Linked DNA regions of Struthio camelus. The protein of the gene in region 2 purifies or fractionates together with the protein of the main gene of each other region. This does not show direct contact. Links are inferred from orthologs where the notes say so. Each region holds a gene or a part of one and is shown on either strand. Other genes may lie near its edges.

Region 1 (6,848 bases), on a different chromosome or scaffold from region 2:
TAAAGTTGGGAAGCTGGGCAGAAGTCTGCCTTGCGTGGTGGCTTGGAGCAAGCACCAGTGTATCACAGAGCACTTGCCTGTGCTGAGATGGGAGGGAAGAGCTCGCTTGGGTCACCACACTGCAGATCCCCTGGGCTGAGGCATCATTGTTCACTCCTGGGCATCCTCCAGCCTTTTGTGCTATAAATTGCCAATGACTCAGGCAGCAGGACGTTCAGGCTCCCCCGAGGAGGCCAGGCCACTGCCGTATAGAATTAGCTGCTACAACTCTTCCTGCTATTCAGTGAAAGGTTTTCCTTTTCTCTGCAGGAAGTGTTATGTGTTGGATACACCAGGATCCGTGGGGCAGAGTAGCAAGAGGAACTGGGTTACAACAGCCATCAGTGTCTCAATAGTTGGAGGTCTTAGATAGGGGGATTGAAGAGAAATATCTCTGCTACATCCAAGGCTTGGGGTTGAATCAATTCAGAGCACGTGTGGTCTTCAGAGCATGGAAAAGGGAAATGGCACGAGGCCTGGATTTGTTCTCATCTTGGGGCAGGTGCAGTGGGTTGCAACAGGAACTGCTTGTCCCTAAAGGTTGGATCTTGCATTCTGCTTTTAATTAATGGTGTCCAAAGAGGTTGCCTCCTGCCTGCCTCAGATTACAGAATGGTACACTGGGTATTTTAATTTTTGCTGCCTTCCCCTAAAAGACTTCTGATAGCCTCATCATGATCTCACCTCTTCTCCCAGCCCAGCTGGGCAAACTCCAAGGAAAACTCAGGCTGGAGGGAGTGATGGTGATTAATTAGTGGGCGCGCATGTGGGTGAGTCAGGCTGCATCAGTAAGGCAGCACAGTGCTGAGGGGGTCACCAGGCAGCTGAAACAGCTTTCTCTGCATGAAACACCATGCTGCCATGCTGACCACATGCAAGAAATGGATTCCCCTGAGGATCTCACCACGCCACCAGCATTAACTCAGTAACTCCACCAGGCAAGGACACAATGCTTCTCAACCTCCCCCTCAGCTTTTAATTGGATTCAAGATCGTCTGGCCCTCCCAGTCCCAGACTGCTGCCATGTGCCCTTACATGCCTCCTACTTTCACTGCTGAAGCAACTGCCTTTCTGCAGAGGGTGAAATGACCTGGCCTCCTTCCCTCCTGCAGCATCTCAACGCCTGTCTGGATGACAGGGCTGTGTCTGACTGCCAGGTATTATTAATAAAGCATCAGTCTGGCTCTGGTTTTAGCTACTGCTACTGCTTTTTGATCTGTCCCTTGTATCCCCCTGGCTTTGGGATCCTCTCCCAGAGTCTGGCTGGGGGTGCCTTTCCTGTTCAATGAGTAATGAGACAGGCAGCCCGCGTTCTCCACTGTGTCTGGTACAAAGCCTTCCCTTAGCAGGACCTCTTGCAGGCTTGGCAGGAGCAGGCAGGCTAGAGCCTGTCAGTAACAGATCACCTCCTTTCTCTGTGTTTCTGTAGAGAGAGATGGCCTCACACAACTATTATGCACCAAAAGGCAATGTTGTAGCTAATCATTTGACGAACTAGTTCACTTCCTTGGCATCGCATCTAAACTGCCAGCTCAGCAGAAGGCTCAGCCACAAGCTCCAGTTCTACCCTGAGACACACGAGACCCCCGGCTGTATATCACCCCCTTGTGTGACAGCGACTGTGCGCTGGCAGAGTTATCCTAGTTGTGTCAGGGTCTGCATCTGCCCTTGCATCTGGCAGCATCTACAGATGGGGTTTAAGCCACTGGTACGGCCCACCAGGACTTAGGAGTTACCCAATGCCAGAGCCACCTTGGAGTGGAGGTCACACAAGGCTGCTGTTAGGCTGCTGTTAGGCTCCTTAGCCCCGCCAGACCTCCCCTGCAGCCATGCAGAGCCAGCCTGGGTTGTTAGTAGACGTCTACTGGATGGTGGATGAGGCTGGCATGAGAACCACACAACCTAACTGTGTATCGCACGACATAGTGGGGCAGCGTGGGATAAACGTCCATCCAGCTATACCAAAGAGCTTCACCCCTGACCCAGAGGGCCTTCCCTGCCTGTAATCCTTGTGACTCATGCATTCAAGGCCTCTTGGCCAAGCTGCATGTTTGGGAATTGGAACAAGACCTTGCTTTGGAAATAGGGCGTTTATTGGCAGCCTGTAGCTGGGAAAGAGCTCCTTCCAGTGAGATAAAACAGCAATGAAGTTTATTGGAGAAAGGCAAATAAAGATCCTCTTTAGCCAGTGGAACCCACTGATACATGAAACTTCCCCTCGATGTTGGCAAACCCTTTATAGATAAGGTATGGCCACCCATGTGAACACCTGCCCCCCAGGATATCTTGATTCCCATTTTTCTGTTCTGGACGTGACTCAGTTCCTTGCCAGCCCCATGATACTTTTAGCTTGGCTGCGTAGCACTGCATAAACAGTCAAACACATGGACAGGCTTCATGAGTCCTTGGGTCCAGCAGATGGGCATCTCAGTTCAATGACAGAGCCGGCATGCTGTCCCCATGAGGGGTACCTGCAAGGGCTTGACAGCCTCTTGAAACAGCTTCAAAGCCTCCCAGGAGACTGTAATCACACACCTGGTCCCCAGGAGAGGCTGAGTCCCTTCATAGGAAGGGCAGCTCCATCCCCTCTGGTTTTCTTTTCCTGCTCTTCCAATACATTTTCTGCTTCACAAAGGCCATATCTCTCTGCTCCAACATGGTACCCCAGCTTCCTGCTGAACTGGCATGGCCAAGAACACCCATAATGGGATCAGCTCTTTGGGGTGACCTCATCTGCACACCACTCAACAAGGTCTCACTGCTGACCAGTGAGGTGTCCATGTGGCCCAGTAAAGCATCTGTGTGGCAATGAGGCATCTGTACAGCAAGGTACCTCCATGGCACAATGAGGCATTCTGTTGCCTAGCAAGGTGTCTCTGTTGTCTGGAGAGGTGTCCCTGTGGCTCAGCAAGGCATTTCTGTTGTCCAGTAAGGCATCCGTGGAGCTCACAAGGCATCCTCACTGCACTATGAGGCTACCACTTGCCTTGCTGAGGAGTGCAGGCAGCCAGGTGAGGCAATTGCATGGCCTGGCAAGGTGACCCACCGCTCACTAAAGCATCCAGACTGCCTGGCGAGCCATCCATGCTGCCTGTGAGGCATCCTCGTGACCTGATGAGACATCCCTGATGCTTGGCAAGGCATCTGCCTAGCCTGGGGAGGTGCTGATGTGTCCATGCTGCCTGATGAGGTGTTGCTGTGGCCTGGTGAGATGTCTGTGTGGCCTGCTGAGACATCCCTGCTGCTTGGAGAGGTGCAGGCATGTCCCAGACAGGTGTCAAGGAGTCCCTGTTGCCCAGTAAGGCATCCTTCCAGCCTATTGAGGTGTCCCCACTGGCCAGAGAGCCAAGCTCATGTTAGCAGCCCCCAGGTGCATATAGGTGCCATAGCAGTGGGTGCCACCAGACCCGCTGCACTCAGCCATCCCCTACCAGTCCCAGCCCTGCCCGGGCTGTCCTTGCCACAGAGAGCAGGCAGCGGGCAGGAGGCAGCACCGGGGCCAACCAAGACTGCAGACCCCCCGGGTGTCCTTGTGTCCCCGTGGCCGTGGGGCCCAGCCTATGCAGGCTCCCCAGGCCTTGGTCTGCCCTCCATGCCCCGGTTGAGGGCACAGCTGCTGGCAGGGAAGTTGCTGGGCCCCCCTCCCCAGGGACACACCAGGGCGCTCCCTAGAGCCCCCATCACTCCAGGATCCCCTCTTGCCCCTAGGATTCGCCCCTCCTCGCCAGTTCCTCCCTTCCCCCCACATTTCCCCCCTCCCCCCAGGTTCCTCCTCTCCCCACGCTCCCCTCTCCCAGCCCTCCTCCCCGCGCGCATGCGCACCTCAACGCGGCTCCCGCGCTCCCCCACTGCGCAGGCGCCGGGGGCAGACAAGATGGCAGCGCCCGTGGACCTGGAGCTGAAGAAGGTACCGGGGACTTCCCCCTCCTCCCCGCCCGGGGCCGCAATCTGCCGCGTTCTCCTGCCTCTCTACCCTCCGCTGCGGGGGTCTGGCCGCCTCCGTGGCCGGGGAGTGTCCCATCGCCCCGGTTGGGTGTTCCCGGGTAGGGCTTTGCGCGGTCCCCTGTTTTGGGGCAGCTTGGGGCCCGCCGCGGCCCCCCGGCGGCCTAGCCTTAGCGGCCTGGGGGCTCCCGGCCTCTACCCCGGCCTGGCAGCCCCAGCCTAGCCCCAGCCTCGCCTGGAACGGCCCTGGCCCCGGCCGGGCGGCCTCAGCCCCTCACCGCTCCTGCTTTCCCCCTTCAGGCCTTCACGGAGCTCCAGGCCAAGGTAATAGATACGCAGCAGAAAGTGAAGCTTGCCGACATCCAGATCGAGCAGCTGAGCAGGACGAAGAAGCACGCGCACCTCACTGACACGGAGATCATGACGCTGGTGGATGAGACCCGCATGTATGAGGGTGTAGGGAGAATGTGAGTATCATACTGGCCTGTGGGGCGAGTAGGGGAAGGCCTCATCGCTGTACTCTTCCAGACTGCTGAGAAAACAGCTCACAGACGCCTTGTGCCTACCTTGTGCTGGTAGTCAAATGAGGTAGCAGTTATAATGGTAGCCTTGCATATGGGGAGACGTTCCTTGCCTCAGTACTTAAAAGGCCTAAGGCTGCTGCCTCAGGCCAAAGATTCTTCCCTACTGTATGGCTGCTTCATGAAGAATATAGCGTGTGTGCATCCATTGAGGCATACTGGGCTTTATCTCTTGGCATCAGTTGCCAGCAGTCTTTTTTACAACTTTTATTGCCTTTGTGTGCTTTTGCTTTTTGGCTTTGCTCTTGGCCTTAATGGTCTTATTTGGACTGTCTGGAAATTTTGTAAGCTAGATTGCTAGAACAGGGTTCTAGTGACAAACTGTGTTTGCAAGAAGATGTCACAAACCTATGTAGCCATTCGTGATGGAATAGTACACCATTCCTGACGTAGTTCACGTCAAACTCTCTCAAAAACACCCATGCCCTTATGCAGTGCATATACTCAGGGCTCTGCTTGCACAAATGTTCTACAGAAATGCAATATCATGTCAATGAATGTCAGTGCTTGCCATTGGCCAGATTTTTTTAAAGACTTGTAAGAGAGCGTGAAGCTTGTTTGCAGTCGCTGTGCAGCTGTAAAGAAAGTAGTACTTTGATGTGTTGGATGGATATCAAAACATCTTAGACTAGAATTAACATGTTTTGATTAACTCTGACAACCCACTTCTGTTTGACTTTAACAGCCTCTTATAGAAGACCACACAAACCAGTTTCAAAAGCTGATAATGCATGCTTACTAAATAAACATCACAGTAACTTTGTGCAAGACTTGAGAGTACTGTGATTTTTCTGTTTCATTGCAAGTTGGGTAACAGGGATGACTATGCTTAGCTAGGGATGTGGTTTTGTGAAACACTGAATCTGATGTAACTGCTGCCAAAAGGGATGATTGTGTCTACTTCTTCCCCACCTGTGTTTCCCCTACCTTCTCTGTGTTGAAGTAGGTGATTGCGCAACCATGCAGTGAGTTTCATCAGCTTGCTGATTCAGTGAACAAGTTGTTCACCAAAAATGCCCTGGTCTGCCTTCCGTCTGACCACAAAATCTCTAGATCCAGTCTCAGAAACTGGAACTGGGAAGTGAGGAATGGTACGCAGATTGCATTTTACTGTGAGTTTTCAGATGAGACCAATGGAAAAACGAAGTTGTACCCAGACTTACGGAGATGCTCAGTGTGACACGCAGCATCCTTCTGAATTGCGTTGTATGGCTCCGACTTGCATTGTGTGGCTCCCAGTAAATAAATTTTTCCATGCAGTTGAATTAGATGTTCGGTTTGTGTGGGGATGTTAGCAACTGGTACCTCTAAAGGAAACAGATTTTTGTCCCCTTTCAAGAGGTGGAGTGACTGTAATATGGTCTGGGAGCAGGCTATAGGTGTAGAGAACGCTAATGTTCAAAGCAGTGTGACAAGACAACTCATAAGGGATTGTGTTTTTTGGTTTTTTTGTTTGGTGGGTGGGAGTCACAGCAGACAAACTAAGAGCAGAAGATAATTTTGGAGGTTCAAAAATATATATTTTAATCTTAAAGCTAAATACTTCTGTATTGAAAAATCATACAGATTAATTTAAAAGAGTGAGTGTATCAGTCTTTACGATGAAGTAAAGTAGTATTGCTCGCAAATGAGATGTGAGTGGCAAATGGTATCGGTTCCTGCACTGGCTGAATTGCATCGTGCTGCTTTCTATTTCTCTTCCACTTATGAGACACCTTTCTTCTTTGCTTCCTAGACCACTTATGCTTTTTCTGTTTGCAGTAGTTGCTGGAGTGAGTGTCTTTTAGGGGGTCATACTCTGCCTGCCTTTCCATGACCAGATAGGGTGCTGTAGGCCCTGCTGGGCAGCTCTCTATTCCTCCGGGATGGTAAGGGTGCTAACTGAAGATATTTGCCTTATGATAGCATTTAAAGGCTGGACTCTTTATGGGTTTTGTTGCATCAGTCACTATGCAAATGCAGATTAAGAGATTGCTCTCGCTGTAAATACTCTTCAGTCACTGAAGTTTGTTTGTTTGTTTTTTCTTCTTTACCTTGATATCATGGTATTTCTGAGCTCTGCCTATTCTAGCCATGGCATTGAAGGATGTCTCGCAAATTGGCATTCTGTTCTGGTAAGCTCTGGGTCACTCTCCAGTGTGAAGATCTCACACGAGGAACACAAGACTCTTCCTGTAACCACTTCTGACCACTAGCAGAGAATTTATTGCTGAAATTCAGGCATTTGGTGAAGCAGGCTACAGATACATTTAAGCAGGAGCTAATTCAAGGGCAGTCTGCTATCTT
Region 2 (7,382 bases):
GTATTTTTTAAGGAATACATACATATCAAGTTTTGAAATTGGCACTGGCAGTGCCCCTGTTAAAAAACAAATTGTTTCTGGCTGTACAGGTATAACTGAAGACCTAATTTCGGGTAGTGTAGCGAGCAGTTCTTATTGATGATGAACCACAAAAATAAACAAAACAAAACAAAAAAGCAAAGCTGACATTTCAATTGTAGGCCCCTCATGAACCTGAAAGGCTTCCAGTAAGGGCCAAAAAAAGTTTCGGGTAAACTGAGAGATGTTCCATCATGAGAAATATTTTCAGAACCAGATGAAGTGTGGAGTTACAGGAATATATAGCTAATATTTTGGGCCCAGGTATGTTCCCTATTGATACTGAGGTGCCAAATAGCGGTGAAGAATGGCAGGGCTGCAGAAATAGCTCTGTATCAGTTGTATACCTTTTATTTTAAGTAAAATCAGCATTGGGCAACAACTGTTCTGCTGGGCCAGAATTATGGGACTAAAGCTCTATATTTGCAGTACATCCTGCCCACAAAGGTAGAGTAAGGTCTCTTACTGTGCTTCACCATAAAGGGATTCCCCTGCCAAAGGGAATCTCCAGCTCCCATTTTAGATAGTGAGAGCCAGCAGAAACTCCCCTCAGCTTAATGGGCTCAGCTGAGGCTGCAGAACAACGTACAACGCCTTACAGTGAGGGAAAAGAGAAATTTTCTTCACAGAGGATGAAGTCTGTTGGGATGACTTGAGGAAAGTAGCTAATATGATTTACTGAGCTCTAATGCTGGATATATATGAATACAAAGGAGGATAATGTTGCTTTTGAGCAACAGGAGGGTTTTTTTTCCTTTCTTTGAAAGAACAAGGCTAAAAATCTGAAAAAAATCTGCCTTCTTTTCTTTAGAATATAAGGGAATGAAAATCTAAGAAGGGAGCCAGGATTTGTCTGGTAAATAATTAACACTCGCTTCATTAAGATCTGATATTGCCTTTTGAAAAGAATAGCACCATTAGAAGGGGATTTTTTTAAAGGTTCCCCCCCCCGCAAGCCCCTTCGTTCCACCTCATGCTGGTACAAGGGTAGCCATAGGCAAGCGGAAATAAAGCAATACATATGGCTATATAAGGTAAATATATATATATTTACAGCAGAATAAGTCTCATTGTCTAATATTAGAAATGCCAGGCTGCTACTAGAACTGCACCTATATGATGTGCAAACTGTACCCCTTGATTTACACTAGTACAATTAGAGTATTACAACTTTGTCCATCTTTTGCTAAGAGTGCTTGATCCACTTCATAAGACAAAGTCTTGACAAACCAATGATTTCTTTTGTCTCCATTAAGTTTTCTCTGTTTCTAATGCATCCTGTATTAAGAAACATTTTGGATGTGTGGTTTCAGGATGCTCAGTCACAGGGAGTTACCCTGTTCTCTGTGTAACTTGAGAGAAAAGGGTAAAGAGTTTGTGAGTCCAAAGCAAATCAGGCAAAGAGCATGGAAAGATTCTCTCCCACCGAGCTGTATTGCAAAAGACAAGTAACAAGAGGGGAAAATGTGAAAAGAACCACAAAGGAGATACAAGCCAAAGGGCGTGTGGGTTTTACACACCATGGATGGGATCCCACCAAGGTGCAAGATGAAGTTAACCACATTTGCAACAACAATGAAGAACAGTACAAGAAAGAGCAAGTCCTTTTATGCAACTGAAAGAAAAATGAGGTCACTGAGTTCAATGAGTTTATCTTACTCCACCACTAGATGTTTGCACTCGTGCACTGTTTTCACTTTTATTTACATAAGAAAAGTCTACAGTAAGTTACTCTTGGCAACAGGCTAACACCACAAATCTTGCCTGAGCATGTGGAAGAAAAAGATTTATTTTCAAAGCCTTCGAGTCATCAAATTCTTATGAAATCCACTCCTTTTCTCTTGAAGGAAATTACACTGGCTCAGACCTAACGTGTTATTCAGTTAATCCACCCATGGAAATAACCATGGTTTAGACTATACCCTTTCATAGTAGGATCTTTAAGAAGAGAGATGATAACTGACTCTATGAAGAGTAACAGAATGGCCAGAGAAATGAGAGTTTATTTCTGAGAAAAAGAGACTTATGAATTAGGATTATGTTTTCACATCCAGGGAGAACTTTTGTGATGATTTTTTTTTTCCTTAACAGGAAACAAGTCAGAATCATGCACCAAAGAAAAAATGAAAGTCAGCTTGAAGGCCATTCCGAATGTTTCCTTTTCTATTTTGTTCATCCTTCTAGACTGTCACTGGAAGCTTGAAATGAACTGTTGTTTCGAACTGAAACAGAAAAACATAACTTTTCCATCCAGAATATATCCACAGTAAGATGTTTTGACAATTTTGAAATTTTTTTCCCTCCACTCATTTTTGAGCTAGAAAGCTGCTACAGTCTTTGCCACAGGTAGATGTGACTTTCTTAAATATATTCAATAAAAAACAGTTACTGAAATGGAGCTCCCAACCAGCTCTACTACAGAACGAAGTTCAATACTTCTGAATTTTACACTCTGTGTAGAGTGAGCTCCAAGCTCATTAGTAAGAAGGCAGAAACCCAGACTTCTCATTCTTCCAGGCAGGCAGTAGGGCTGCTATGTTATTTCTATCTATGAAAGGCTGAGGGAGAATATTGTTAGTACATGTGCTAGGACTTGAATGGAGGATGCCATATTCCAGCTTTTCCTAATGAGTCCCAATTGCAGGAATTCAATAGGAAAACTTTTAAGGTATTCACCCATTCTTCTCCTGGGTTGTTGTTTTCTATTGTTCTTCATGGATCCCCTTTTCAATGGACTTTTATGAGCTACCATGGAGCATGGATTCTCTTGTGGTTCAAGCACTGGATTTTGCCTCAGGAACACTGTGTTCTAACAAAATCAAATGCTAACTCTGTTCCACTGGTTGTTTCTGTATTTCTTATTAAAATAGTTGTTGGTTAATATTCTTCAGGCATTACAAGGGAGGTGCGATGCGAGTCTGGATGGCATCACACAGAGCAGGTGAATCCGTGAGTCTCGCGTATCACGAACAAGTGTTCTGACAAGACTGTTGCAGAGAACTAGAGTGCTTTTTAAAGCACAGCTTTAGAGGAAAGGCTATAGGTTGTGCCTTCAGGAAATGGTTTTTGATCTTCGGACTCCAAACTGGTGGAGGTAATTCTCGGCAGCTCTGAGAAAAGGTTCGGCAGTTTTGGCTGCCAAGGGCTGAACGCGCTGAAACGCTGTTTCGTCGGATTTTCTTTCTAGAGCTCCGAACTCTCCCCACGCAATGAGCCAGGGACTCTAACTCAGATTTTGGAATTCCTTTCCAAAGCTAGACACTTTAAAAGTACACCTATCAGGCCTTAACTCTACCTACCCAGGTCCTTTTTTTGGTCTAACTCTAATGACCTTCGACTGCAATTCACAGGAGTGCCTAGCAGGAAGATGAATCCCAGTGAAATGCCTAAAGCTATTTCAAAGACCTTTCTGAAGCTTTCACTGCAGGTTTGTTACCTGCACACCTGACACTGGCACAAGAGCATATCCCTTGGAAATCACCGAACGTGGTGGGCAGTTCCTGTATGGAGACACGTGAAAGCTAGAGGGTCCCAGAGATAAGGTGGCTTCGGCAGACCGAGGCCAGTCACAGGCATCAAGAGGTCCCATTCGAGCCGTTCAGCAGCTGTTTTTCGTGAAAGAGGCCAGGCCGGTCTCCATCAGCGCGAAGGCTTTCGAAAACCCTGGCCGCTTGCAGCTTTTGCTTCACGTAGCGAGGGCGCGTGCCCGTCCGCCCGGGCTCCGGGCTGCGGGATCCCACCCGCGTACCCGCGGCAGCCCCACAGCCGGAGCGCGCCGGCGCCAGCCCTCTCCCCCGCAGTTGTGAAATGTTCTGATGACCTGATTTTTTTGTTTTGTTGTTGTGACATAAGCTAAATAAACTGAAGCATGTGGAGGCAATTACGCAGCGTAAATGCCAGACAGCCTCATTTCTCTTTAGAAGCGGCCAACCAGCCGTTTTGGGGGGGGGGGGGGGCAACAAATGTTTGCTTTTGCTTAAAAAGTCCCTCGGCAAGGATGTGAACTGGAAAGCCTTTTCCGCCCCCGTTTCCAGAAAGAGCAGGCTGGTTCGGTTGGCACGCCGAAGAGAAACCTTGGGCTAGTCCTTGGCGTCGCCCCGGACCCCCTGCGTGAGGCCGGGCCCGGCGCCCCGCCGTCGGGGCAGCCCCCTTCCTCGGCGGCCGCTTCGCCCCCCGCCGCCGCGGCGCCGCCATTTCAGGAGGGAGCGGCCGAGGGGCAGCGGGGGGGGGGGGGGGTCGGTGGCGGGAAGGGCCCATCCCTGAGCGGGGGCAGCGGGCGGGGGCAGGATGTGCGCAGCGGGTCCGGGTCCGGCCCCAGGCCGCCGCCCGCCGCCCGCCGCGATCCCATGGCGCCACCGCGTGGCAGCCCTCGCGGGCCGCAGCCCCGTTTTCTGTCGGTGGACTCGGCCGCCCGCGTCCCCTTTAAGCGGGACGTACCAAGCGCAGTGTGCTGGGGGGGGGAGGGGGGCATTCTGCGGCCGCTCGCGGCCGGACCCCAGCGCTGGCAGCGGTGACACCGACGAGAGAGAGCAGAGCCGCGCCGCGAGGGGTGGTCGCTGACGGGCGCCTCTTCTCGCCCTCGCTCGTCGCCGTCCCGCTCCTCCTCTTGCGAGGGGAGCGCATGGTTCAGCCCCGCCCAACATGGCCGCCACCATGAAGAAAGCGGTGAGTGGGGGACGAGGCAGCGGGGGTGGTTCCGCGGGCTCCTCGGTGGTGGGAGCGCGGCGGAGGGAGACGGCGGGGGTGGCTCCCGGGCCCCGCTGTGCCCGGCGGGTGGCAGCTCCCCTCGCTCCGGCGGCTGCCGCGGGGCGGCGGGTCCCTGCCCCGGGCCCCGGCCCGGCCCGGCGGCGCCGCTCGGCGGGCAGCTCTGAGGAGAGGCGGCGCTGGGAGCCGGGGCTGGGCGGGAGGGATCCCGGGGCACCGGTGTCCCCCGTGTCCCCAGGGAGTCCGCCCAGCTCCGCGGGAGTCTTCCTGATGTGTCCTTAAGGAGCTGTGCTAAGGAGTCAAGTGCATAACCAAAATGTAAAGACCGTAAAATCGTTTGTTTTTTCTTCACCCCCCTCCCCCTTCCAAAAGCTTTGTGGAAATAATCTTATGGTGAGATTAAAAGCAAAATCAGACTTCACGTAAAAAATGAGTTGCTCACTTTGACCTCGCTTCCTTGCAGGCTGCAGAAGATGTCAATGTCACTTTTGAGGATCAACAGAAAATTAACAAATTTGCAAGAAATACTAGCAGGATCACAGAGCTGAAAGAAGAAATAGAAGTTAAAAAGGTATTTTTTTTTTTTTCGCTACAAGGTCACTTTTTTTTTTGTTGTCCCGAATTAATTTCTGAGCTGCTGCTCAGAAAATGGACAGAAAATAGGAATTATCGATTAGCGTAAGTAATAGTTTTAGCCAGAGATTTCTGGCACTGAAGATAGCCAGAGAATATTAAGATGATAAAGCAAAGAAAGTCATAGGAAATAAAGGAAACTTGGAAGAACCACAAGTGTATTATTGCATGCAGTACTTAGAACTCCTTAGTTGTTATGTATGAAATGTTGATCATATATGAAGGCTATTTGCAGTGTTCTAAAATTTCCTAAGTTTATTCATATCTGCTTTTCTTGTACCAGTGAGGCATTCCTGCCTTTTTTCTTCTTTTGATGTGTTTATAGAGGTCATCGTTATCTGCTTAGAGATTTTCTCTTGCTGAATAGGGTACATTATGCTAATTCACTCTTCCAGTATTAATTCATTTTTCTTTAACATCGGTCACAGTATTTCCAGTGAAGTTTTAACTGTTATTTGTGAAGTGCTTACCCTGTCTCTTCTATAATTCCCTTGCCTGATACATACTGTAAAAATGTTACATTTTCGGTTTGATGTTCCCTTGGTGGCTTAAGGTGCTAGGACTCTAAGACATTCTACTTTTGTGATAAGGTTATTAACGTTTGCCGCCTTATTTGTCTTCCTGTTCTCTGGTTAAATTCAGAAATTCCTGCATAATAACGTATCAGATGTTAGTGAAATTAAATCAACTGTTTTTCACTTGTCTAACCAGTTAATTGTCCTGTTAATGAGAGTACTGACTAGAACTTTTTACTGGTAAACGCCACTGAATTTAGTACTTACTTTAAATTATGTCTCGGAAACAGCGTTATCAAACATACTGATATTGATGGGTAGGATTTTTGCCCCAAATGCGGACTCTCTCTGCATTCGTTATTCAACAGGAATAGCATGTTAATGCATCCGTTGCAGTAATACACATAGGACAAAGTGACCAACTTTCTTGTGTCTTGATAAATAGAAGCAACTTCAGAATTTGGAAGATGCCTGTGATGACCTAATGATGCTTGATGATGATGATTCACTACTGATACCCTACCAAATTGGAGATGTCTTCATTAGTCATTCCCAAGAAGAGACACAAGAGATGCTGGAGGAGGCAAAGGTTTGTGGGCAAAAAAGGAGTTGCTTTAGCACTATCTGCAGATAAGCATTGCAGTGGGATGGTGTGTTCAGTTCTGAACCTTTTACTTTCTGAATATCTTTACTATGATATCATGTAATACTGCAAGTTATACTTCCAAAGCTGGAGCCTGTTAATCAGCAAAAAGTATCAACACGGAAATATTCTCTCATTCTGATTTTAGCTTTATGCCTTGATCAATTTATTGAGGTTGGTGATAGCTGAGGCATGACTTTTCAATTTCTGGTATGTTTTATGATGTCCTATAATTATCATTGGAAAATTTGTCCTTTGACTGGCTCCGTCAAAGGAGCCTGACTTAAGGCAAAAACTTAAGGTTCCTTTGATCAATTATATGTTGCTGACAAACATGACTTGGTATGTTTTCATAATTAATTAGACATTCTTTTCTTTTCCAGAAAAGTTTACAAGAGGAAATTGAAGCATTGGAATCCCGAGTGGAATCAATTCAGAGAGTGCTGTCTGACCTGAAAGTTCAGCTCTATGCAAAGTTTGGAAATAACATAAATCTTGAGGCTGAGGACAGTTGAAGGTTTTCTAAATATATCATAATTTTTTTTTCATTATTTTAGTAAATATTTTGACAGTTCTTCTTTTCCAGCAATGTTTAAAAAAATTCTACCAGTTTCTTATTTTCTGACTTTCCTGTCTTGGGTTCCATCTATTTAATGAGAGCTTTCTTACTTTGCTTATTGCAGTTATTTATTTGTTCAGGAAAGCATTAGCGTCACTCTATTGATAAAGCATCAAGGTTGGAATATTTGCGCTGTTTATTAAAATAATAAAGTCAGGCACATATCATAGTTTCCCTGGTCTTGTTTTCA
Region 3 (7,724 bases), about 6.8 Mb from region 2:
ACTTGTGTTGGGGTAGCAAGTTCAGACTAATTAGGGTAGTACAGAAGATAAATTTTAAAACCTTTGAGGAAACAACTATTGGTTAAATCAATTGTCCTTTTACTACAAGACAGGCCAAGGATATGTCAGTCTTTTTTTCTTTTTTTAACACTTTATCCTTTCTTCTAGTTTTGAAAGCCTTGTTTTCCCTGTTCTCTTGCCTTCCAACTTGACAGTAGTAAATGTTTTCCCACGGAGACTAGAAGGATGCTGCCCTCTTGTATCCCTCTTCACACATTTTTTTAAAAAAGATTCCTGAAGTGTTTTTGATGTATAGTTTTACTTTGTTCTAATACCACAGGCTTACACAACTCTTCCTTTATGCTTTGGACACACTGTGGATTCACAGTTCGTTCCCTCCTACTCCTGTTCCGACACTAGAATGAACTAGCTCTGAAGCTAACTTACAGAAGATATTACGTTAAAAAAGAAAAAAACAACAACAGAACATGCACACTATTAGGAATGCTTAGTTTCTCAGATTTTAATAATCCCACTTCCACCCTAGCAATGGCAGTTTGTCAAATGCCTTGAATGAGCCTGTGTTCTAACGTTTTCCTCTGCACAGTTCCAGCGCCCAATCTTTATCCAGCAAGAAGCAGGAACAGTTTATAGTCCAAAGAAATTGCAGCGTTCTATTTGAGGAGCCAAATGCCTCCCCAAGCCTACCAGGTAAATACCACTTGAGAAAGGTTCCAGGAATACAGATGTTCTCCTAAAGAAAACCCTGGAGGTTGGCCACTGATAGAGCAGTATGAATTCCACACGTGACAGCCTAAATAATGCCTTGATAAGCAACACTATTTGCCCATGGTCATGGTGATGCCACTGCCATCTCAGCCCTCCAGTATGCGATTGATTAGTTTCATTTCCTCAGGAGTCATGGGGTTCAGATTAAATCCTTTCAGCTCAGCTTTACCTGAGAGAAAGCAAGCAGAAAATCAGGGTTTTGCTACAAAATAAGTTAAGTAGCTACAAAAGATGTTAAGTAGCCATCACTGCAAGGACTCTAGAGAAGACAGTGATAGCCCTGGAAGTTGATACAGAGTCATTGGAGTAGCTGGAAAGCCTGTTTAGTCTGCTAGTGGATGACAGCTTTGCAACAAGAGCTGCATGGTCCCACAGCGCTGCTTGAACAGGAACAGAATTGGAAAGCGAGGGAAAAGGGGGCTCTAGGAACATACAGAGCGCAGGAGCTCCTCCTGCCATGTAACATCTGCTCCTGGGTGTTCGCTGAGAAGGTTCAAGAATAAGAGCATCTACCTTGAGCTTCAAAGAGACGGTTGACCTTCACACGCAGCTCTTTCCGAAGCTTGTTTATTTCCTCATCCAAGTGCTCCTGATCTGAGAGAAGGGAGAGAGCGGTAAGGAGCTGTGGAGTTCTGTGGATGAACACAGAGCTACCCCAACTCCTGGCTGCTGCTGGGAGATATTCAGGGTCGAAGCCTGAGCATGGGGTGACAGGAGAGGATGCTTGTGAGCTTCATTCTCCTTGCAACCTCGAGCACGCAGGCTTGTTGCATGTTCTCTGCAGCCTATAGAAAAAGTTCACTTTCTACCAAAACGTGCCTCCCTGCGATGCTCTGTCCAGGACAGCAGAACACGAGGAATGCCAAGAATCTCTATTTTTAACTACAGTCAGAAGGTTTTGTGTGCTTCAAAGCCCAGGACTAGACAGAAGCTTGAACGTACAAAAAAGGACACTCCAGAAGTCTGTCTTACCTTTCTGCATCATCTCCTTAGTCTTTGATTTTGGCAGCTCAATGAACATGTTTCCAAAGCAGACCATTGCTTTATCTGAGGAGGGGGAAAAAGAAGGTCCTTGTGGACACCAATTTTTTTCTTCCTAATATAAAACTATTCCTTTGCACAAGTAGGCTCATGCAGGCCTGGTACCAGGGCCGGGCGTGGGGCGGCCTGGCTCGAGGTAACGGCACACCGGGGCACCCCGGGCCTCACCGTCCGGGTCGGGGTCCTTGTGCAGAGCCCGCAGCGCCTCGCGGTTCCGGTTCCGCTTCACGTCCAGGTCCACGATCTGCAGCGGGAACGGTACGGCTGCAGCGGGGGTCACCCCGGGGGAGCCGCTGCGAGAACGGGGGTCACCGGCGCAGCTGCGGGGGGCGGAAGGGGCGACTGCGGGACGGATGGGGGAACGCAGGGGTTCCCAGAGGGTGCAAGGGGTGACCGAAGGGGTGACCGGGGGCTGGACGAGGGGACCCGGAGGCGGATGGGGGCTGGAAGGTTAGCGGGGCTGAGCGGGTGAGGGCTGCAGGGGCCGTGGCCCAAGGAGACGGGGGGGCCACAGGGGGAAGCAGGAGGAGCTGGGGGGGCCTGGAAGGGTCCGGGAGGGATGCAGGGGGCACCAGGAGGAGGCGGGGGGGGGGATCGGGGCGCACCAGCAGGAGCCGGGGGGCACCAGGAAGGTGCGATGCGGCCACAGAGGGCACCAGGAGAAGCCGGGGGGCTAGGGGGGGCGGAGGGGCCCAGAAGGGTCTGGGGGGCCGCAGGGGGGCACCGCGAGGGGCCGGGGGGGAGCACCGGGGGGGGCGCGGAAGGGGCCTGGGGGGGGCGGGGGGGCGCGGAAGGGGCCGGGAGGCGGCGGGAGGGGCCGCAGGGGGCCGGGGGGGCGCCGGCGGGGCCGGGGGGGCGGTAGCGCACCTGCTGCCGCGCCGCCAGCACGTCCTCGGCCAGCTCCTCCACCTCGGCCAGGTAGCGCAGCACGAAGGCCGGGTCCCGCGCCATGGCGGCCCCGGGGCGAGGCCGGGCCGGGCCCGGTCCGCCGCGCTCCCCGCCGGGCGGCAGCCGCGGCCGCGCACGCAGGTTCCGGGGCGAGAGGCGCCGCCCCGCGGCCGGCACCGGCACCGGCACCGGGGGCAGCGGGACGCTGCGGGGCCCGGCCCGGCCCGGCCCGGCTCGCTCCAGCGCACTGCAGCCGGCAGCGCCTGGCTGCGCCGCCGGGGCGGCCGTCCCTGTCGCCATGCCTGTCCCCAACCTGTCCCCATCCCCGTCCCCATCCCCATCCGGTCCCCATCCCTGTCCTTGTCCCCATCCCCATCCATGTCCCCATCCCGTCCCCATCCCATCCCTGTCCCCGTCCCCGTCCCCATCCCGTCCCCATCCCTGTCCTTGTCCCCATCCCCATCCCGTCCCCATCCCATCCCTGTCCCCATCCCTGTCCCCATCCCGTCCCCATCCCTGTCCTTGTCCCCATCCCCATCTCTATCCCCATCCCATCCCTGTCCCCTTTCCTGTCCCCATCCCTGTCCCCATCCCCATCCCGTCCCCATCCCTGTCCTTGTCCCCATCCCTGTCCTTGTAACCGTCCCCATCCCTGTCCCCATCCCCATTCCCGTCCCCATCCCCATCCCGTCCCCATCCCTGTCCTTGTCCCCATTCCCATCCCCTTCCCGTCCCCATCCCTGTCCTTGTCCCCATCCCCATCCCTGTCCTTGTCCCCATCCCGTCCCCATCCCTGTCCTTGTCCCCATCCCCATCCCCTTCCCAGCCCCATCCCTGTCCTTGTCCCCATCCCCATCCCTGTCCCCATCCCGTCCCCATCCCGTCCCCATCCCTGTCCTTGTCCCCATCCCCATCTCTACCCCCATCCCATCCCTGTCCCCTTTCCTGTCCCCATCCCATCCCCATCCCCATCCCTGTCCCCATCCCTGTCCTTGTCCCCATCCCCATCCCTGTCCCCATCCCCATCCCATCCCTGTCCCCATCCCTGTCCCCATCCCTATCCCCATCCCTGTCCTTGTCCCCATCCCCATCCCCATCCCCTTCTCATTTCTATCCCCATCCCATCCCTGTCCCCTTTCCTGTCCCCATCCCGTCCCCATCCCCATCCCATCCCCATCCCCATCCCCGTCCCCATCTCTGTCCTTGTCCCCATCCCCATCCCCATCCCTGTCCCCTTTCCTGTCCCCATCCCGTCCCTGTCCCCATCCCCATCCCATCCCCATCCCCATCCCTGTCCTTGTCCCCATCTCCATCCCCTTCCCCTTCCCATCTCTATCCCCATCCCATCCCTGTCCCCTTTCCTGTCCCCATCCCATCCCCATCCCCATCCCCGTCCCCATCCCTGTCCCCATCCCTGTCCCCATCCCATCCCTGTCCCCATCCCTGTCCCTGTCCCCATCCCTGTCCCCATCCCGTCCCCATCCCTGTCCTTGTCCCCATCCCCTTCCCATCTCTATCCCCATCCCATCCCTGTCCCCTTTCCTGTCTCCATCCCTATCCCTATCCCATCCCCATCCCCATCCCTGTCCTCATCCCCATCCTCATCCCCATCCCCGACCTCATCCCCATCCCCATCTCCATCCCCTTCCTATCTCTATCCCTATCCCATCCCTGTCCCTTTCCCCCTTTTCCTGTCCCCATCCCTGTCCCTATCCCTATCCTCATCCCCATCCCCCTCCCTGTCCCTGTCCCCATCCCCGTCCCATTGGGCACAGCCATGTCTGCGCTGCCAGGCCCAAGAGCTGCTGGCAGGAGCCGGGGCTGGTGGTGGCTTTGAGCCTTTTGGAGGGGGGAGGCCGGGCACCGGGCCCGAGAGGGGTCACAGCACCGGCACCGGCGCCTCGCGTCAGCCCTCGGGGCGCAGCGCCCGCCTGCCGCCCTCGCTGGCCGTCTCCCCTCGGTGGCCTGTTTGCCGCGGCGGTGGCAGCTGAGGAGCCGGGGAGGTCTTGTGGCGGTGAGTAAACTCCATTAGCGTAATTAAAGAGGAGCTCTCGTTGATGAGAGGCATCATACTGCACACAGGCAGGAAAGGCGAGGGCCCGGGCTTCGCCGGGCTGTGCTCTGCCGGGTCTCCGGGCGGTTGTTGCTTCGCCCTGAGAAGCGATTTCCCCCACGGAAGCGCTCGGGGTCACGCGGCATCGCGCAGCTCCGGCGCCCGGCTCGGGGTCGCTGGCGGGAAAGGGCTTTGTCACAGGAAACAGTGTGGAATTTGGCTCGTGTTTGAATGCACTTGTGCAAGAGTACTTTATTTGTGCAGTTAGGTGATGTCACCGCGTTTGAATTCCCTCGAGCAGGGCCACGTCTCCCAGCAGCTGGGGGACGCACCGGCGAACGGGAGCAAGGCCAGGCACGGCCGGGGCCGGCGGGCGCCCGCAGGAGCTCAGCCTGCCGCAGCCGCTGGCAGCAACCTCGTCTCATGCCACGTTGCAGCCAAACGCGGAGCTCTGCAGTGCTTGCATCCCTCCCGGGATGAGGGAAAGGGTCACAGCTCATTCACTTGGATTTCCAAGAGCTTTTGGCGAGGTTCTTAACAAGATGCTGTCAAAACAAAATGGATTGCCTCGGGGTAAAGAGGTAACGTCCCGTTGGGGTTTGAAAACTAGATAAGCTATAGGGTTGTAATTAGTGACACTTGGCGTGCAGAAGAAAGGCTTAATCGCGAGAAAGTGTGTATGGAATTAATCTGGCATGAGTGTGATGGGTTTGGTGGAGGAGGTGAAAAGTGGAATCACATTTTCTGATGGCCGTTTCGTCCTTGACAGCGTGTGAGGGATTGCGAGTGCCCCAGAGTGACCTACAGCAGCGGCCGATGTCACAGCAGCACGTGACACTGCCCGTGTCCCCCTCTCCTGCGCTGGCATCAATCGCAGGGTTTGCTGCCATCACCCGTGAGCACCCAATTAATTTACACACGCACACCCAATACGTTTGTGCGTGAACAAACGTATTTAGTTCCTGCATGAGCACCCAATTAATTTACGCCTGTGCATCCAGCCAGCTCACACGTGAGCAGCCGGTTAGCACCACGCCGGCGCGGGACAGCCCTGAGGCCAGCGGGCCACAGACAGCGCCCTGTGCCACGGCAGGCGCACTGAGGAGCCTGGAGCGGGGGCAAGCCAGCCGGAGGCACGGAGGAGCGGCAGGCGGAAGCGTTTCGCACACAGCTGCAGTCTCGCGCGCCGCCCTCGCCTCGCCGGAGCACCTGGGATGGACCGAGTGCAACCCCAGCGAAAACAAGGCAAGCCGAGGCCAGGAAGGGGGGAAGAGAGGTGACGGGCTTAATCTGAGGGGGAGGAAAGGGGTTTCCCTATGTGTTTGTTTAATTGTTTATGTTTCCTTTTTTCTCAATACCCAAATTAATGATTAGAAGTTTGTGTTAATTGGCAATAAATTAAGTACAAGCTGTCCCAGTCGAGATTGCTTTGCCCATGGCGCTCCCCACGGTTAACTCTGAACACCAGGACCGAAGCAGCAGAGACCTTGCGGGAACCTGGTTGGCAGCAGCCGCCGTTTCCCTGCGCTTCGGGTGGAGAACAGACAAGTCTGAAGGGAAAGGTGTCTCTCTTTAACCTCTGCCAGGCTGCTGTCAGACTGTGGATCCACCTTGCAGCCAGACATAGCAGTTAGTTACTTTTAATGGCAGTGGTGGAAAAGATAAATCTGTGTCCATGGGATTTCAGTTATCCCATTGCAAATCGAGTTGGTCTAGACTGAGCTGCTGAGTGGCGCTGTGTATCGAAGCGGGTGGCTTTGCCTGCAGGCCTGGAAGGACTCTGGGAAACAAACCTCACCAGCATCTCAGTAACAGGTAGTGAGTGGCCGTAAGCAGGGAGGGAAGTGCCAGCTGCGGGCAGCAGCCGCGGTGGCCCGGGACCAGCAGTGGACCCCGGTTCAAGGATTTGGCCTGGACAATGGTTTGAGGTCCCCTTGGCCTTCAAGGTGCTGAGATTTTCAGATACATCTCCAGCCCTTTGGAGACTCCTGGCTCAGCAGGGCAGAGCATCCCCCTGCAGCAGAGCTGGCGCTGGGCACCGGCACCTCTGCCCCGGGGCACCGGCATCCTGAGTGGGACCTACTGCCGGCTGGGGGCTGGGCAGAGCAAGGGCCGTGCACGATGCATCTGCACCCAGATCCCCCCCAGCCCCACTCTTGCTCAGGCACGGAGGTGCCTCTCAGATGAAAGCCCTCTGCTCCTCCGTATGTCTCTGCGCATGTGAATAATTTATGCTTTGTCATAAACAATCCCTCTTTCCCCCTCCTCCCGTCCTCCTCCCCTCCCAGCAGCATGCACTTGTGTTTGCTTTTTCTTGCTGCTTTCTAACAATGTGCCCATGTCAGGCAGATGGGCTCATTAATAGCATCAGGTTGCCTTTACTTTCCTTTTTTTCCCCCCAGTATGTAATAAAGAGCATTAAAAGCGCAGAGGCAATGAGATCAGATTTCATTTTCTGCAGCTAGGTGGCTCTTCCGGAGCTCAGCCGGCGAGGGCCTGCGGGTCGCAGCGGGAGAACCGGATCCGGCAGGGCCAGCTCGGCCCGGCGGGGCCTCCCTTCCTGCCCTCGGACCGTCCGGGGCCCCGGAGGGCTGCAGCGCAGAGTGGGAACCCCAAGGCGAAGCCGTCCGGCCCCAGCAGGGCGGGAGCGCGCTGCAGGCGTGCGGGGCTCAGGGGCTCTCCAGGAGCTGCTCTCTGCAGCTTCTTTCATTTTAAAATTCACACGATCACTCTGGCTGGTGTGGCCCCTCGCAGAGGCTGTGTTCTCCAGCGTTAAAATGCTGCAGGTGACCCCGGGAAGTGCGAAGCGGCTATAAATGCTCTCCCAGGCCCCAGTGTCAACTTCCCGAGCTGCTCCTCAGGCGCTGCTGCTCCAAATGACCCTGTTTACAGGAAGGAGGAAATATCTCACATCAAAGTGGCTTTTAGTCACTTTTCTTTCCAACCCCCGTGG
Region 4 (7,167 bases), on a different chromosome or scaffold from region 2:
GGAGGCTTGGCAGCGGGGGCCCCCTGCACCTGGAGGCCCTCTCCTCCTCCCTGTCCACGGCTGGCGGTGAGCGACCGATGCTGAGGGGCTGCTCTGTGGGCTGTTGCTGTGCAGGGCACTGGTTTTGGGCTGGGGGCTCGTGGCTGTGCTGGGGAATCCACGTTTGTCCCCTCTCCTACCAGCTCCTCGGGCAGGCGGCTCTGGAAACCTCTGCTCTAGCCCTTCTCCACCTCCTCTTACAATTTCCCATTGCTTTGAGCTTTGCCAAAGGGTTCAGGTGCTCTGCTCTCTGTCAGGAGCTCACCTCTGCCTTGGGGGGGATTTGCTGCTTTGCCCCTTCCAGATGTCTCTTCCCTGGACAAAGCCTGTGAATTCCTGAAAGGTGCTTTCAACTGCATCAGCCACTGCCCTCCCAGTGCCCTCTACAGCCAAGTCTGCCAGCTCCTGGCCCTGTCCCTGGGCAAGCAGGACCCCATCTCCACTGCCTACCTGGTGTCGGAGTCTGTCTCGGTCACCACCCGCCATCAGCTGCTCAGCACGGTCCACAGGAAACTTCAGTAAGTCCCTCCACCCTCCCTGGCTGGCTTTGTGGAACAAAACCCCCTCGGCCTCCCCTGCTTTTAACCTTAGAGCACTGCTGAGCAGGAGGGGGGTCTCTGCCAAAAACTTTGGAGCCCCAGCAAAGGTAATTTCAAAGTGGATTTATTCCCTGACTGTCTTTCCCTCTCCAGCAAAGCCAAGAAGTCAGCAGCAGACGTAGCCGAGCAGCTCCACGGGCTCTCCTTGCGGGAGGAGAGCGCTGCTGTGCGCAGCCACCACCTCGCTCAGCTCCAAGACCTCTTCGAGTTCAGCTCCACGGGGATGGGGCCTCAGGAGCAGGATGGCTTCAGGGAGCAGCTGGAGAACATCCCCAGTGGTAAGGGCTCATCCAAAAGCAAGGGCTGGGAAGCTCACTGCTCTGTGTCGGTCTGGGGCTGAGTCCTGGAGGGCTGTGTGGCCTTGGGACTGTCCCCTGGCTGTTCCTGAGGTCTGGGTCTGGTTCCCAGGGGTGACCGTGTGCGTGCTGACCCTGGTGAGCCTCCAGCCTGCCTCCGTGGGAGACATGCTGCTGCTCACACGGCTGGAGAAGGGCAGCGCTCCTGTGACCATCCGGATCCCGACTGCGCTCACCAAGGTGAGGGCAGGAAAGGGAGAGGGGACAAGCCCAGCTGCAGGGTGAGTTTGGGGCTGGGATCACTGTTCCCTTCCTCTTCCAGGCCCCGCTGAGCTCGGTGCTGAGCGAGTTCGATGCCATTCAGAAGGAGCAGAAGGAATCCAGCAACTGCACGGACAAGAGGGACTGGTGGCTGTGTCGCTCGGAGCTGGACCAGAGAATGAAGGTTGGGGAGAGACTTCCCTCACCCTGATCTGCCTGGTGGCACCTGGCACAGCTTTTGAAGAGGGCTGCCATGCCCAGACCCCCCGTGACTCTGGCCTCTTGCAGAACCTCATCGAAACCCTGGAGATGCAGGTGTTGGGCTGTTGGAAGGGGGCCCTGCTCCCTGCCAGCCAGGAGCCCAGCCTGGCAGAGGAGGCTTCCAGCTTGTGCAACCAGCTCCAGAAATGTGGTTGGGAGGACGCAGATGCAGCGCTCCTCAAGGTTTGTGTTGGAGATCCTAGTTGGCCTGGGCTGGGGCAGCAGTTTGGGCAGCCAAACAGCCTGGCATCACGTGCCAGCCTACAGCATGGTGCTGTCAATGTTTATGCATTTCTGCTCCCCTCTTCCTTCCTGTAGGTTGTGCTGAACTCCTCTCCCCTCCTCACTGCCCAAGATTTGCAGTCCCTGGCCTTTGGGCTCTGCCCAGCTCAGCCCTACACGGCCCAGCTCCTCTTGCAGGAAGCCCTGGAGAAGCGGAGAGCTTGCGCCAGGCAGGCCAGCGGCTCCCTTGTCCTGGTGCTGGATAAGGTGAGTCTCTGCTCCTGCCTGTACTCTGCGTGGCTGCTTGCTGCCTTTTGTTCACCCCTTCCTCTTCCTCCCAGCACCTGCAGAAGCTACCCTGGGAGAGCATGGCGTGTCTGAAGGCTGTGCCCGTAACCAGGCTCCCTTCCCTGCGATTCCTGCTTGGCTATTCCCTGGCGCAGAAGGTGAGAGGGCCAGGGACTGTGCACCCCGGGCCGGGGCTCTGCGCACACTGGCTCTGCAGCACCGCAGGGTTTGGCACCCTGCGGGTTCTGCTCCGGGCTGGGGCTGACTTGTCTCGTGTCCCCACTCTGGCAGCGGGCAGGATCTGTGCTGAGCCGCGGCGTGAACCCCAGCAGCACTTTCTACATCCTCAACCCGCACAACAACCTGCCGGGCACCGAGGAGCGTTTCCGGGGCTGGTTTGAGAGGTGAGCGTGTCCCCTGCCCCGGGCAGGGATCCTGCAGCCTGGGGTGCCCCAGGGGCTCTCTGCTCTCCGCCGTCCTCACCAGGTCTCTCCCGCAGCGAGCCCGGCTGGAGCGGTGTGACAGGAGCCATCCCGAGCCAGGAGCAGATGCAGACGGCGCTCTCGGAGCGTGATCTCTACATGTGAGCCTTGGGGATGGCGTGGGCTCCTTTGAGACAGCCCAGGGCCCTCTTTAAGCCTGATGGGGGAGGTCGGGGAGGCTTCACCAGATCTCTCACCTGGACCTTCTCCCTGCAGCTACGCCGGGCACGGAGCAGGCGCCCGCTTCCTGGACGGGCAGTCCATCGCCAGGCTGGAGTGCCGCGCCGTGGCCCTGCTCTTCGGCTGCAGCAGCGCCGCCCTGGCCGTGCGCGGCAGCCTGGAGGGATCTGGCATCGTTCTCAAGTACATCATGGCTGGGTGGTGAGTGGCGAGGAGATGCGGAAAGCAGGGGCGAGGCTTGGGGAAGCTCAGCTTGTCCCTTTGCTACAAGGGCCGTCTCGTGCAGCTGGGTGTCTCTGCCCCTGCAGCAGTCCTGTTTTCCCCCCACCCTGCGCATCTGCACCCCAAAGGGGCTGACATGACCCCTTGCTCCTTTCCAGCCCCCTCGTCCTGGGCAACCTGTGGGACGTGACGGACCGCGACATCGACCGCTACGCCGAGGCTCTGCTCCAGGGCTGGCTGAAGGCGGGCTCGGGCGCCCCGCTCCTGCACTCTGTCGCCCAGGCCCGCCAGGCTCCCAAACTCAAGTACCTCATCGGCGCTGCCCCCGTTGCCTACGGCTTGCCTGTGTGCCTGCAGTGAGGGCTCAGCGCTGCCTCTGCCACTGCCTCTTGGCCCCAGCCCTCCTCCCCTCCCCTCTCTCCCTGTGCCCCCCCCCCAATGATGATCAGGTGCTGCTGAGGCTGTTTTAAACTTGCGGTGTTTGCACAGGGGGCCAGCTGGGGTGGGGTGTTACATGTTTAACTGTTCTTGGATCTTAACTTATTTTAAAGTGGTTTTAGATGACACAGTCGCTGTATGTTGAGACAATAAAGCTGGTGCAGTTGGACCTGACCCTTGTGTGCTGGCTAAGGATGGTGCTCAGGCTCAGGGTGCCTGCCACCCTGGGCTGCCCTGTGGGGCTCTGCCCCCTTCCCTCTGCCTCTGTCCCCTCTCCCCGGGCCCCAGCCAGCTCTCCCAGGTAAGCAGGAGCCCGTTGCACTGCAGCTCTGAGCGATCGCCCACCCCATGGGCTGTGTTGTCCCTTGCGGGGCATGCTCTGCCCTCCGAGGGTGACCTCAAAGCACCTTCTTGGGGTCCTGCTGCAGCTGCACCCCTCGTTGTCCTCCTTGGGGCCTCTGCAGTTGGGATTTTCCCTCCTCCCTTGTTTGGGGGGGGGGGGGAACACCCCTCCTAGCTGGGTGAGGGACAGAGGGAACAACCCTGGCTGCTGCAGCCCCTGCCTCTTCCTCGCACCTTGGAAGCCCCAGTGGAGGGTGGGGGGCAGTAAACCCCCTTTTCCCTGGGTGGGAGCAGTGGGTGGGGGTCCTGCAATAGAGCCTATCCTTATTTGGGGGGGGAACACCCCTGGGTCCCCCCTGTCTTGGGGGGGGCAACCTGGCTCCTTCCTTCCCTGCTTTTGGGGGGGGGGAATGACCCCCCCCCGGCTGCCCCCTGTCCTGCTTTGGGGGGGGGGGGGAGGAAATGATCCCCTCCGGCTACCCCCTGCCCTGGGGCTGTTGCCCCCGCCGGCCGCCAGGGGGCGCCGCGGCACCAGCGAGAGGCGGCAGCTGGCGCTAGAGCGTCGCGGCGGGCGGCACCAGCGAGACGGGGCGACGTGCGCTAGAGCGTCGCGGGCGGCCCAAGATGGCGCAGCAGGTGAATGTGGCGGAGCTGTCGCTGCCGCAGCTGGAGATGCTCAAGAGCCAGCTCGACCAGGTGGGCCGCGCCGGGAGCCGGGCTCCGCGGCTGGAGGGGCTGCTGGGGGCGGGGGACAGGGCTGGGGGAGCGCCGGGCCGGTGGAGAGGCCGAAATGGGGGTGAGGCCTGATGTGGCTGTGGGGACTGGAGGGGGCGGCGAGAGGGTGCTGGGCTGTGGGGACTGGGGGGGTCGCATGTGGGACCAGACTGGTCTAGGCTGGAGGTCCTGGGGGGTGACTTATGGGACCAGACTGAGTCAGCCTGGGGGGACAGGGGGACGTTAAGGTGGGGCTAGGGTGTGGGGACTGGGGGGAGATATGTGGGACCAGACTGGGCCAGGCTGTGGGGACTGCAGGGGCGGGGGTGGTGGTGATGGTGGTGGTGTATGGGACCAAATAGGGTCAGGCTGGACTGGGATATGGGGACTGGGTGACTGGAGAGGTGACACGTGGGACCAGACTGGGCCGAGCTGTGGGAACTGGGGGTTATCAAAGTGGGGACTACTGGGCCGGGCTGGACCAGGCTGGGGGGTGACATGGTGGGGCTGGACTGGGTGGTCTGGGGGGGTGACATGTGGGACTGGACTGGGCTAGGCTGTGGGGGTGGCAGGGTAAGGTTAGACTGTGCCACAGGTCTGCTGTGGGGGGGAGCTGGGTGGCCTAGGGGTGATGACCAGACCAGGTGACGTGCCCCAGCCCTGTCCTGCCGTACATGGCACTCGATTAGGGCCTCTTCTGCTCTCTCAGCACCTCTTTGGTGGTAAGGGGACGCTCACAGGCTCACGCTCTCTCGCCTAGGAGGTGGAGTTCCTCTCGTCCTCTATTGCCCAGCTCAAAGTGGTGCAGACCAAGTACGTGGAAGCCAAGGACTGCCTCAATGTACTCAACAAAAGCAACGAAGGTGAGTGAGATACCTTCACCCTCGGCCTGCGTGGCCCTGCCAGGTCCCTGGGGCACTTACTGGGATGCCTGAGCAGCAACTGGAGAGGCTGGTGTTGTCCTGCCTGGCCTTGCCAGTCCTGGCTGCTGCCTAGGTGAGACACATCACTCTGTGCTTTGAGTGACGACTGAGAGCCCAGGCTCTGCGCTTTCTTCTGCCCTGCGTCAGTTTATGCCCTTGGACCAGGTTCTTGTTTCCGTGGTGCCTCCTTCCCTGCTAGGAGGTTGGGCGTTAAGCAGCATCCCAGGCACGCGGGGTGCACGGAGGGGCTAGATGTGGTTGTAACGTCGTACCTAGCTGTTTGGCGCTGTGTAGCTGCTCTGTGTGCCCCTCGCCCTGCTGTGGGCAATCAGCTGGTGCATCCGAGCGCTCAAACACGTTTCTGCTTTGTTTCCTGTAGGAAAGGACCTGCTGGTCCCGCTCACCAGCTCTGTATCCTTTGCCAGCCCTGCAGTCCTCTGAAGTTAACTCTTCTTTGCTAGCGGGGACGCGGGAATGTCAACTGCTAGGGCCGAGGGGCTTGGGGGACGTTTTACCTGGCTGTGCCCACTTCAGGAGGGACATGGCCTCTCCTGGTTGCTCCTTCCCTGCCTCCTGGGAAGGTGCTGGCCAGTCCTCGTTCCTCTCTGAGCAAGGACCCCAGGATGTTTCCTTTCCCTCTGGCCAGCGGCTGAGCTGGGGTGTTTAGGGCTGACAGATTTTTGCCCCTGTTGCTCTTGACACGAGCTCTGCTTCTTCATGCTGGGCCTGTGCTGCTCGGGTCGTGCGTTGGTCCGTGGTGGCCACTGTGCCGAGGACGCCTGGCCTCGGTTCCCAGCTCTGCTGGGCTGAGGTGCTTTGCTCCCAGAGCTGCCTAGTTGTCTTGGTTCCCTGCTTTCCCTTGACCCCCCCCCGCCAGATGTATGTCCCTGGGAAGCTCTCAGATGTCGAGCACGTGCTGATAGATGTAGGAACAGGCTACTACGTGGAGAAGGTAAGGGGTGCGTGGAGTGGCCCAGAAGCAGCTGCGTTTCTGCAGCAGATCATAAACAGAATTGTCCGTGGCCGAAGGGTAGCAGGAACTTTGTGCCTAGAGCTCTCTGTTATCCTTTATTCCCTCAGACAGCAGATGATGCCCGAGACTTTTTCAAGCGGAAGATTGACTTCCTGACCAAACAGATGGAGAAGATCCAGCCTGCGCTGCAGGAGAAACATGCCATGAAGCAGGGTAAGGGCCCATCTCCCACACCCCGCTGCAGCTCCTCGCTCTGGGCAGGCCCCCGAGCAGCTCCCCTCACTGCCTGGGTGCCTTGTCTTCCTGCAGCCGTGGTGGAAATGATGAGCCAGAAGATCCAGCAGCTCACGGCCCTGGGGGCCGCGCAGGGCGTGACAACAAAGGCGTAGCCTTCGGCCTCAGGGGCTGCCTTCATCAGCATCGCTGCTGGGACGAGAGCAGAGCTGCTGAAGAAAGCCGCTGGGGCCCAGACCACCTTGTCCCCCCTTCCCCAACACTCCTCTCCCTGCTCGGCAGGGCTCTGCTGTTGACTCTAAACACGTGCGGTGCCTGGAAGCAAAGCACCAGCCAAACCCTTCCCTTTTTGTAAGCAGTGCGTTGCTGCCAGTGTATGGAATAAATTAGAGATGCAGGGAACAGCTCCGGGCGGCATCTGGTGCTTCTCGAACCGGGAAGGTTTCAAGGGCAGGAATTCAGCCCTCTGCAGCCAGCGGGAGGTAGGATTGGGCAGGGGCGGAGAGGCACGCAAAGAGGGGGAAAAACAACCTGGGACTCCTCCCAAAGTGGAGTCATGCCAGGCGAAACAGGGGGCCTGCTCCAGCCCGAAAGATCACGCGATACAGACCGGCCTTATCTGAGGAAATCATGCTCTTCCCGATCCCGCAGCTCTCGCAGCGGGGATTCCCAAGATCCTCCGGCCCCCCAGCG

What was found.
Region 1: the proteins of PFDN4 (region 2) and PFDN1 purify together in Homo sapiens (affinity purification with mass spectrometry; 5 studies listed by BioGRID and IntAct, counting the BioPlex papers as one, with this or other methods). This does not show direct contact. The link is inferred for Struthio camelus from reciprocal best matches to the Homo sapiens genes PFDN4 and PFDN1.
Region 3: the proteins of PFDN4 (region 2) and PDRG1 purify together in Homo sapiens (co-immunoprecipitation; 3 studies listed by BioGRID and IntAct, counting the BioPlex papers as one, with this or other methods). This does not show direct contact. The link is inferred for Struthio camelus from reciprocal best matches to the Homo sapiens genes PFDN4 and PDRG1.
Region 4: the proteins of PFDN4 (region 2) and PFDN5 purify together in Homo sapiens (affinity purification with mass spectrometry; 5 studies listed by BioGRID and IntAct, counting the BioPlex papers as one, with this or other methods). This does not show direct contact. The link is inferred for Struthio camelus from reciprocal best matches to the Homo sapiens genes PFDN4 and PFDN5.

The regions. Positions count from the first base shown.
Region 1 is NC_090954.1:23,573,392-23,580,239, reverse strand, and holds the start of PFDN1 (prefoldin subunit 1), read left to right. Parts: upstream 1-3,832; 5' UTR 3,833-3,853; coding exon 3,854-3,946; intron 3,947-4,281; coding exon 4,282-4,448; intron 4,449-6,848. UniProt on the Homo sapiens protein: Binds specifically to cytosolic chaperonin (c-CPN) and transfers target proteins to it. Binds to nascent polypeptide chain and promotes folding in an environment in which there are many competing pathways for nonnative proteins.
Region 2 is NC_090959.1:11,760,905-11,768,286, forward strand, and holds PFDN4 (prefoldin subunit 4), read left to right. Parts: upstream 1-4,367; 5' UTR 4,368-4,719; coding exon 4,720-4,743; intron 4,744-5,245; coding exon 5,246-5,353; intron 5,354-6,375; coding exon 6,376-6,519; intron 6,520-6,956; coding exon 6,957-7,088; 3' UTR 7,089-7,361; downstream 7,362-7,382. UniProt on the Homo sapiens protein: Binds specifically to cytosolic chaperonin (c-CPN) and transfers target proteins to it. Binds to nascent polypeptide chain and promotes folding in an environment in which there are many competing pathways for nonnative proteins.
Region 3 is NC_090959.1:18,591,674-18,599,397, forward strand, and holds PDRG1 (p53 and DNA damage-regulated protein 1), read right to left. Parts: upstream 2,859-7,724; 5' UTR 2,782-2,858; coding exon 2,698-2,781; intron 2,075-2,697; coding exon 1,999-2,074; intron 1,837-1,998; coding exon 1,762-1,836; intron 1,384-1,761; coding exon 1,303-1,383; intron 959-1,302; coding exon 876-958; 3' UTR 509-875; downstream 1-508. UniProt on the Homo sapiens protein: May play a role in chaperone-mediated protein folding.
Region 4 is NC_090969.1:1,548,834-1,556,000, reverse strand, and holds PFDN5 (prefoldin subunit 5), read left to right. Parts: upstream 1-4,152; 5' UTR 4,153-4,254; coding exon 4,255-4,326; intron 4,327-5,104; coding exon 5,105-5,207; intron 5,208-5,646; coding exon 5,647-5,678; intron 5,679-6,144; coding exon 6,145-6,219; intron 6,220-6,347; coding exon 6,348-6,453; intron 6,454-6,549; coding exon 6,550-6,629; 3' UTR 6,630-6,878; downstream 6,879-7,167. Other genes in the region: ESPL1 (separin), read left to right, coding at 1-66, 344-557, 732-916, 1,047-1,174, 1,257-1,379, 1,484-1,639, 1,775-1,945, 2,020-2,124 and 4 more. UniProt on the Homo sapiens protein: Binds specifically to cytosolic chaperonin (c-CPN) and transfers target proteins to it. Binds to nascent polypeptide chain and promotes folding in an environment in which there are many competing pathways for nonnative proteins.